2 linked regions of the Drosophila melanogaster genome follow. The gene in region 1 interacts genetically with each later gene. Each region holds a gene or a part of one and is shown in the gene's direction. Other genes may lie near its edges.

Region 1 (3,700 bases):
TAAAATGTGTTTTAAATTTGTGACACAGCTCTTTATCGAAAAACGTCGAGATATACTCACAGGTTTCTTAGAACGCTCCTCCAATACACCAAATGCAACATGATTCAGTTGGAAGCCAGACGGCAGTGCAACGCCCTGAATGCGATAGAAAGCACCAGAGGGACCCTCCTCCGCAACTTTGTGGGCAGCCGAGATGACGCATTTCCCCAAAAAGCTGGTAGACGCCACCATTGGACCGCGTGAGATGTCGATATGATCACCCAGGCGATACAAGGTGACCCTTCCATTGGTCTGCTGCGAGATGCTGGGCAACTGTTCGCTCTTATACTTGGAATCCTTGAACATCTCCTGGGCCAGATCCTGTTGGACGTCCAAACGCTCGATGCGCAGATCCTGAGCAGCCAGTTTAACCATCTCTGCCGAAAGGGCGCGCATCTCTTCTTTTCCTGGCTCCCAGTTCTGGGTTTGGAGCACAATGTCGTGTACGAAGCTACCTGATTTGACTGTGAAATGTAATAGGAGTAATTTTATAATTTGTCTCGCTTATAGAATATTCCAGACAGTATTAGTTTTAAGATATATATCTATGAAATTTTCATCCAATTAAAAGGGGGAAAGACGAAACCTAGTAAAAAAAATATCCTAATCTTAAATCCTAAAAAGTGATTCTGCTTACTATTGGGTCCAGGAAAGCTGTGGAGCTGAAGATTGGCCTCCGGCTTGAAAGCGCGGTTCAAGGCGGCTCCCAACATAAAGCTGCAAGTGCGCCAGAATGCTCTAAAAGTAAACAACATAAGCAAGTTTAATATAAATGCCATATTATAAATAGTATAGCACTCACTTGTTGACCACATGTGGCTCGGAAACATGGAAGTTAAGCAGCTGCAGAGTACAGGATTCCTGCAAGGGTCTGTGCATATCCCAGGGAACACTGCCGTCGATCAAGGCCAGTGCCGATCGCTTACAGTGCCCCTCACTCAGATGCTGGGCGCAATTGAAGGGCGTTGAGATGTTGCCGTTCATCACCAGAGTGACATCCTCGGGAAGTCCCAGATACCGCACCTCGATCTTATCGATTCGACCCACTGCATCCCGTTGACGGCGCTGCTCCTGGTTGAACAGGTCATTCCGCTTGGCTAACGATGCAGAACTGCCACTAAAGTTGGCTGTAGGGATAATTAATAAGTTAAAAGACATATTTTATAGTACAGTTTCAACAAATTGAATTTAAATTATGGTTGACTATCTAAAATAATAACTGGGATCTATAGAAATTCTAGCGATTTTTCCGCCAAGACATCAACGAACTGCCATCACTAGCCGAAGAGCTCCGCGGAACGTGAATGACTGCCGGCATTATGTAAACCACTTCCTCCATCTTTGGTCAATAAAAGGACTCCTAATTAGTGTTACTTACCCTTAGTTCTGTATTGTTGAAGCTGCCGCAGGGCGCACCAGCTTGTTTTATGTAATTTGGTGGCCGCAGACATGGTAAATTACCAAAATACTCTTCAGGGATGCAGTTCACAAAAGTGATGGTACTATGCCAAGATGGTCAGGTGGAAACAGTATATCGATATTTTTCAAACATGACTATTCGCTTACAAAAGATAAGGGGCCTTCCTAAGCACTTATTGCATGTATACTGCGGGGAATATTTCCAAACATTAAAAAGTTTTAAAATTATACAATGCAACATTAAAATATTAAAATAATACAACATTGAATAATTTAAGTTACATAAGTCAAATTATTAATAACGTCAAATTATTAATAATTTATTTCTTCAATACTATCGCTCTAGTTGAGTCCATGAATATATATCGATACAATATCGATTGTACTTCCAGCTCTAGCAAGCATTTAACAATTTTGTTTGTCATCGCGCTCGGCAGAATTAAAACCTTAGTTTTCCTTGCTAATATAGTTGAATTGAAGAATATATATAATGGATTTGGATAACGCACGCGATCTGCCCCGCGCTGGTTTCAATTTCGACAACTGCAAGCGGTAAGAATCGTCCAAGTTGTTCAGCAATACCCCATCGGCTTTTATTAATTGGTGTTTTATTTGCTTTCAGCAATGCAACTCTTTTGAATCGAGGCTTCAAGCCACCGACCACCACCAAGACGGGAACCACAATCGTTGGCATCATCTACAAGGATGGTGTTATTCTGGGCGCCGATACGCGAGCCACCGAGGGACCCATTGTCTCGGACAAGAACTGCGCCAAGATCCATTACCTGGCCAAAAACATATAGTAAGTCCACCGACGGTATGCGCCTTTAAGTGCACAGGGAACCTAATAATACTATAAGAGGGATTACGGTATTTTTTCCTGCATTTCAAATGTGGGCCTATTTCCTTGTCCTCGCCGGCTTAGATCAATTTGTCTCCAATTTTAAGGGGCCCGTGTTTTAAGTTGAGGATCTTAGGGTGTAGCTTATGTTGCTCTAACTTAAAAATATGTGTACTTTCTAACATGCAAGTATCTCCCAATACCTAACGAAAATATTTACCTTCAGCTGCTGTGGAGCTGGAACCGCTGCGGACACTGAGATGACTACGGATCTCATCTCCTCCCAGCTGGAGCTGCATCGCTTGCAGACAGATCGTGAGGTGCGCGTTGTGGCCGCCAATACGATGTTGAAGCAGATGCTTTTCCGCTACCAGGGTCATATCAGTGCCGCTCTGGTGCTTGGTGGAGTGGATAAGACTGGACCCCACATCTATTCCATTCACCCACATGGAAGTTCGGATAAGCTGCCGTACGCCACCATGGGATCGGGTTCCCTGGCCGCCATGACCGTTTTCGAAAGTCGCTGGAAACCTGACTTGTCCGAAGAGGAGGGCAAGAAACTGGTGCGCGATGCCATCGCCTCCGGAGTGTTTAACGATCTGGGTTCGGGATCCAACATCGATCTGTGTGTTATCCGCAAGGGCAGTGTTGAGTATCTGCGCAACTATGAGCTGGCTAACAAGAAGGGCAAGCGCCAGTTGGACTACCGCTTCAAGACCGGAACCTCAACCGTGCTGCACACCAACATTAAGGACCTACTCGTCACCGAACGCGTCCAGGCGGTGCCCATGGAGATTTCTTAAAGCGATTCCCCTTTCTACCCTTTTCGTACATTTATTATAATAAAGCTTCGGCAGGATCTATATGGAGTGGTTCAATAAAGGAAGCCATGCTTCATCTTAAGTTGCTGTGTTTTTTTCTGGGGTTTTTATTAGACTAGCGATACTCCTAGGCGGACAATGCTTTGGTCATTAACGAACTCCTAGCCAGGGACCAAAAAATAATTATATTACAATGTTTTCCAAATTTAAGAATGTTTCCACATGGTTAGGGCACAGTGTCGAGTTTTGGTCCATCAATCTCTTTGTACTTTTACGATCCAGATTTTAAATAATTATTTTAAATTTAAATATTACCATGGAGCAATGATTTGAATTATTAAATACATTTAAATTAGGTAAAACAAAAAGGGGGTTTTGGTGATTTACGGACCCTGGCATAAATTAAATAATAACTATAAAAGAACATTAAAGCTTAAGAATTAATTTAGCTAATATCACATGGTACAGAGGGTCAATTCCTTACAGTTGAAGGCACTTTCCATCTCCTTAGAATAACGGGTTAATTGGCACCAAGAATTCACTTGATTGAGTCAGATCATACACACTCCTTCTAGGACTA
Region 2 (3,926 bases), on another chromosome or scaffold:
CGGGCAAGCCCGCATTTTTGGACGTGCTGGGCTCCTCATTTAAGAAATCCTCCTGGAAATCACAACGCTGACGCTTGCCATTGCCGAACTCCAGTTCCACAACGGCCTGGAAGGAAATGGGACCTTCGACCATCTGGTAGTCCACCACATCCTTGTGATCCGCCACCAGTTCGAAGTTGGCCCCGTGATCCTTGGGCCTCTTTAGGACGACGAGATGCTTCCAGCACTGAATTAACAGGTAGATGCCCTCCCGTTGCCACACAAACTTTCCAAATTTGAGGGGCAAATCCTCCGGCGGATCCAGCATGCTCCAGTCCACCTTTTCGTCAGTGGGTTCCTGCTTGGACAGAAAGGGACAAACCGGTCCGTCGTAGGCCTCCAGTTGGGTGGCTATTTGCTTTAGTTTCGTGACCTTCAAATCGATGTAGTGCACCAGATCCTTGCGCCGGAATTCGTAGAACTTTAGGTTTCTCGCTAAAACCAATGTAGTGGGGTCATCCCGCGGTCGGCCCACGTGAAGATTGGCGCAGAAGGCCAACCGGGCCGGCTGGAGCAGCATCTCCGGCACATTCTCCTGGACAAACGGCAGCATGGATGCGGAAGCCACAAGATGGATGTGGCGCCCTTGACTCGAAAGCCCTTCGAATCGATAGCTATTGAATTCAAGTAGTAGTTATCGATGCGGTGAACGATATTAGGCTATTTTGAAATGGAAAAACCAATATTAATCGAGTTTCGAATGCTCCTTTTAGCGAGAGGTAAGTCTTTAACACCGCATAAACACAATCAGTGTTGCCTAACCAATCTGTGCCCTCCACTTTCTCTCATAATCAAGCAATTTCTCATAAAAAACGCACATCGATAAGCTGATAACGTTGGCCCTCGACTAACACCGATTATTCAACAAGTTGTGTCAATCGGCGGAGCAGCTGATCGTTGTAAGTAGCAAGAAGAAGACGCCACACAAACATTGCACTCCGCTCCGCCCGCGCGTTCTCATTTCCCATCTCTCTCACTCTGTCTCTCGCGCTCACCGTCTCTCTCTCTCGCTCCGCCTCGCAACCCCCACAGCGCTCCACAAACCGGGCCCCACATTCTTGTGTGTGATTTCTGGTTCAGGTTCTGATTTCCCGCGTGTCCTTGTGTGTGTGCGCGCTGCAGTGTCTGTGTATCTGTTACTGTTGCTGCATCTTCTGCATCAACTGCAACGTTACCAAAAATCAAAAGACAATCGCCTGCAAAAGCTTAATTTTGTTGCTCAGTGTTTTAAGTATTAGCTGTTTGCAAGCAGCACACACACGTAAGAAACAACAAGAACAACGATAAAAGACAACAACACAAATGCAGAGCATTTGAAGCGCAAACACACACAAGCATTCGGTGCGGCTGTAAGAGCGAGACACAAAATAAGGCTAATTTATAAAAGAAAAGTGTGCTGCAAGGAATCGATAAATAACGGGAGTCGAGGAGCGGAATAGGAGTAACCAATAAATATAAATACTGTAAATGCGATATTAAAAAGCGACAACAACAACAAAAAGCAGCTGTGAATCACTCCGTCCCGCTCCCCCGCGCTTTCAGTCACTCCAGTTGCTCCACTTCCATATATATTCGGATTTGGACTCCGATTCGGATACGGATTTCGCTTGGTTCGATTCTGTTTTCTTCGGATCGGTTTAGCTTTGCTTGCCAACTCGAAATCCCACAAACATGGTGAGTACTGGCAGATTATTGCCGCCGTTTTCGAGTTGTTTTGGCCAAAAGCGGCAGTGGCAACCAAACAGCAACACCCACACACCACACACACACGTACAGTGCAAGCTTCTTGGCCAGGTTTTGAGCTCCTCCATCGCCGCAGTTCCAATCCGAACTTCGTGGTAAACAGTTGTCCGCTGAAAACGCAGTGCAGCCTCCGCGTGAAGAACGCTCTGAATATACGGTTTCAAAGTCCTAAGAGGTTGTTTATATGAGTCTAAGTACAGCTACAAGATATATTTAAGCTATGCTTTTCGAAACTATCGTGTAGTTGTTCCAAATACAGTGAAACCTCAATGTTCGGTTTTTGAAGTTAAAAAGAAATATAAACATATATTTGAAGTTTACAAACTGTACAGTATTAATTTGAGCAATAAACCCAACAGTCCAGATTTGAAGTTTTTTTGACATGTTTCAAATTTTTAATATTCTAGCATAGTGTAACGTAAAACATGATTAAATGTTTAGCAACAGCAAAAAAACTACATTTTTGCAAATAGTAAACAAAATTTTAAGCAGTTAACCGAAAAAGTTACAGACCATAGATGTTACGCGATATTTGGATACAGGTTTTAATCCAGATTAGTTGCAATCCAGATTCCTAAAGTCCTATGTCAATCGCCGTAATCTTCGATTGAAAAAGGCCGAGAGTTGCTTTTTTATGTGGTAACATTGGTAAAATCTTTCATGCCATTCCACATATGGTTGTTTGGAAAGGGTTAGGTAACTGGATTCTTGAGCACTTGTCTCACCCCAGTGGGCAATCAAATTCGCCTGTGGGAGCAGCACTGGCGATCCATCTGTGCATGAATCCCCGCCAGAAGCTGCGTTGTGTGTCTACCTAGCGGGAAATGCTTACTAAAGATTTAAATTCGTTTTCGCAGAGCCCGCCCATCGTCACGCGACGGAGTGCGCAGCAGGCAAAGATTCAGACACGGGCAATGGCCAGTAAATCGAAGACGGGCACGACAGGGGCGGCGACGGCGGCCGGCGGCACCGGCAGCAGCAGCGGCAGTATCAGCGGCGGATTTAATGCCGCCGATCCGCGAAAGTCGAACAAACCGAACGCAGCGCTCTTGGAGGCGAAACGTCGAGCTCGGAACAACATGCTCAAGAATCAGGGCTGCGGATCGCAGGAGAGCGTCACGGATATATTCCAGAATGTGAGTGCTATCTGACTGACCTCTATCCTCTGTCCTTGTGCAATCCTAACCAAGTGATATTTAATCGTCGCCGACGAAAAGGCTGTCAACAGCAAGAGTCTGGTGCGGAAACCAACGGCACTGATCTACGATGAGTCCATGAGCCAGCACTGTTGCCTGTGGGACAAGGAGCACTACGAGTGTCCCGAGCGCTTCACACGAGTCCTGGAACGGTGAGTATATTTGAAGAAAACGGTACAAATTAAGCTGATATGTATTCCCTAATCTCCTCATCCAGCTGTCGCGAACTAAATCTGACGGAGCGCTGCCTGGAGTTGCCCTCGAGATCGGCGACCAAGGATGAAATTCTGCGCCTGCACACAGAGGAGCACTTCGAGCGGCTGAAGGAGACGTCCGGGATTCGCGATGACGAGCGCATGGAGGAGCTGAGCTCCCGCTACGATTCAATTTACATTCATCCGGTGAGCAAGCGCATCCAACGGGGAACATGGAACAGTGCATCCCAGTGCCTGGCTCCAAATTAGCTCATTTTATTGTATTTGCACTTGATTGCTTGCGGAGATTGCGTTGTTTTTAATTCGACGGCTTGATAAATGCAAATTGGAGCAGATTAGATTAGATGCGACCCATTGCACAGGTACAGTGCGGTGCATAAATGTAAATGGTTGAGTGACTGGCATAAATTATGCAAATGATTATACCTCCGAACTTAAAATGCATTTATTCCCCGATTGTAATTCTAATATGTCTATTCTTGTTGTGATATTCATTATCTTTATATTGCGTGCAATCTTTATTTAGTTTGCTCAAACTTTAGTTATTAATTATTACGACTGCCCGCAGCTTTTATTACTTTATATTTCATTAGCTAAATCCTCCAGCAATCTGAAGCGCACTGTAAATTCGTTAAAATGGGCTGGTACTCATACTATTACATCCTAGATAAGATTCCCGCTGTTTTACTAGCACCGAACTTGTTATATATAGAACACTGATAACCTTATCCGC

The links.
Region 2: of Prosbeta2 (region 1) and HDAC6, changing one suppresses a phenotype caused by changing the other (phenotypic suppression), as found in Drosophila melanogaster (one study listed by BioGRID).

Annotation. Positions count from the first base shown.
Region 1 is NT_037436.4:14,998,120-15,001,819, forward strand, and holds Prosbeta2 (proteasome beta2 subunit), read left to right. Parts: upstream 1-1,831; 5' UTR 1,832-1,948; coding exon 1,949-2,010; intron 2,011-2,080; coding exon 2,081-2,260; intron 2,261-2,525; coding exon 2,526-3,102; 3' UTR 3,103-3,200; downstream 3,201-3,700. Other genes in the region: mRpL39 (mitochondrial ribosomal protein L39), read right to left, coding at 61-503, 677-777, 842-1,166, 1,418-1,490.
Region 2 is NC_004354.4:15,332,351-15,336,276, forward strand, and holds the start of HDAC6 (histone deacetylase 6), read left to right. Parts: upstream 1-2,127; 5' UTR 2,128-2,300; coding exon of another isoform or gene 2,301-2,324; 5' UTR 2,325-2,606; coding exon 2,607-2,918; exon of another isoform or gene 2,919-2,999; coding exon 3,000-3,130; exon of another isoform or gene 3,131-3,195; coding exon 3,196-3,379; exon of another isoform or gene 3,380-3,621; intron 3,622-3,926. Other genes in the region: CG9114 (uncharacterized protein), read right to left, coding at 1-592.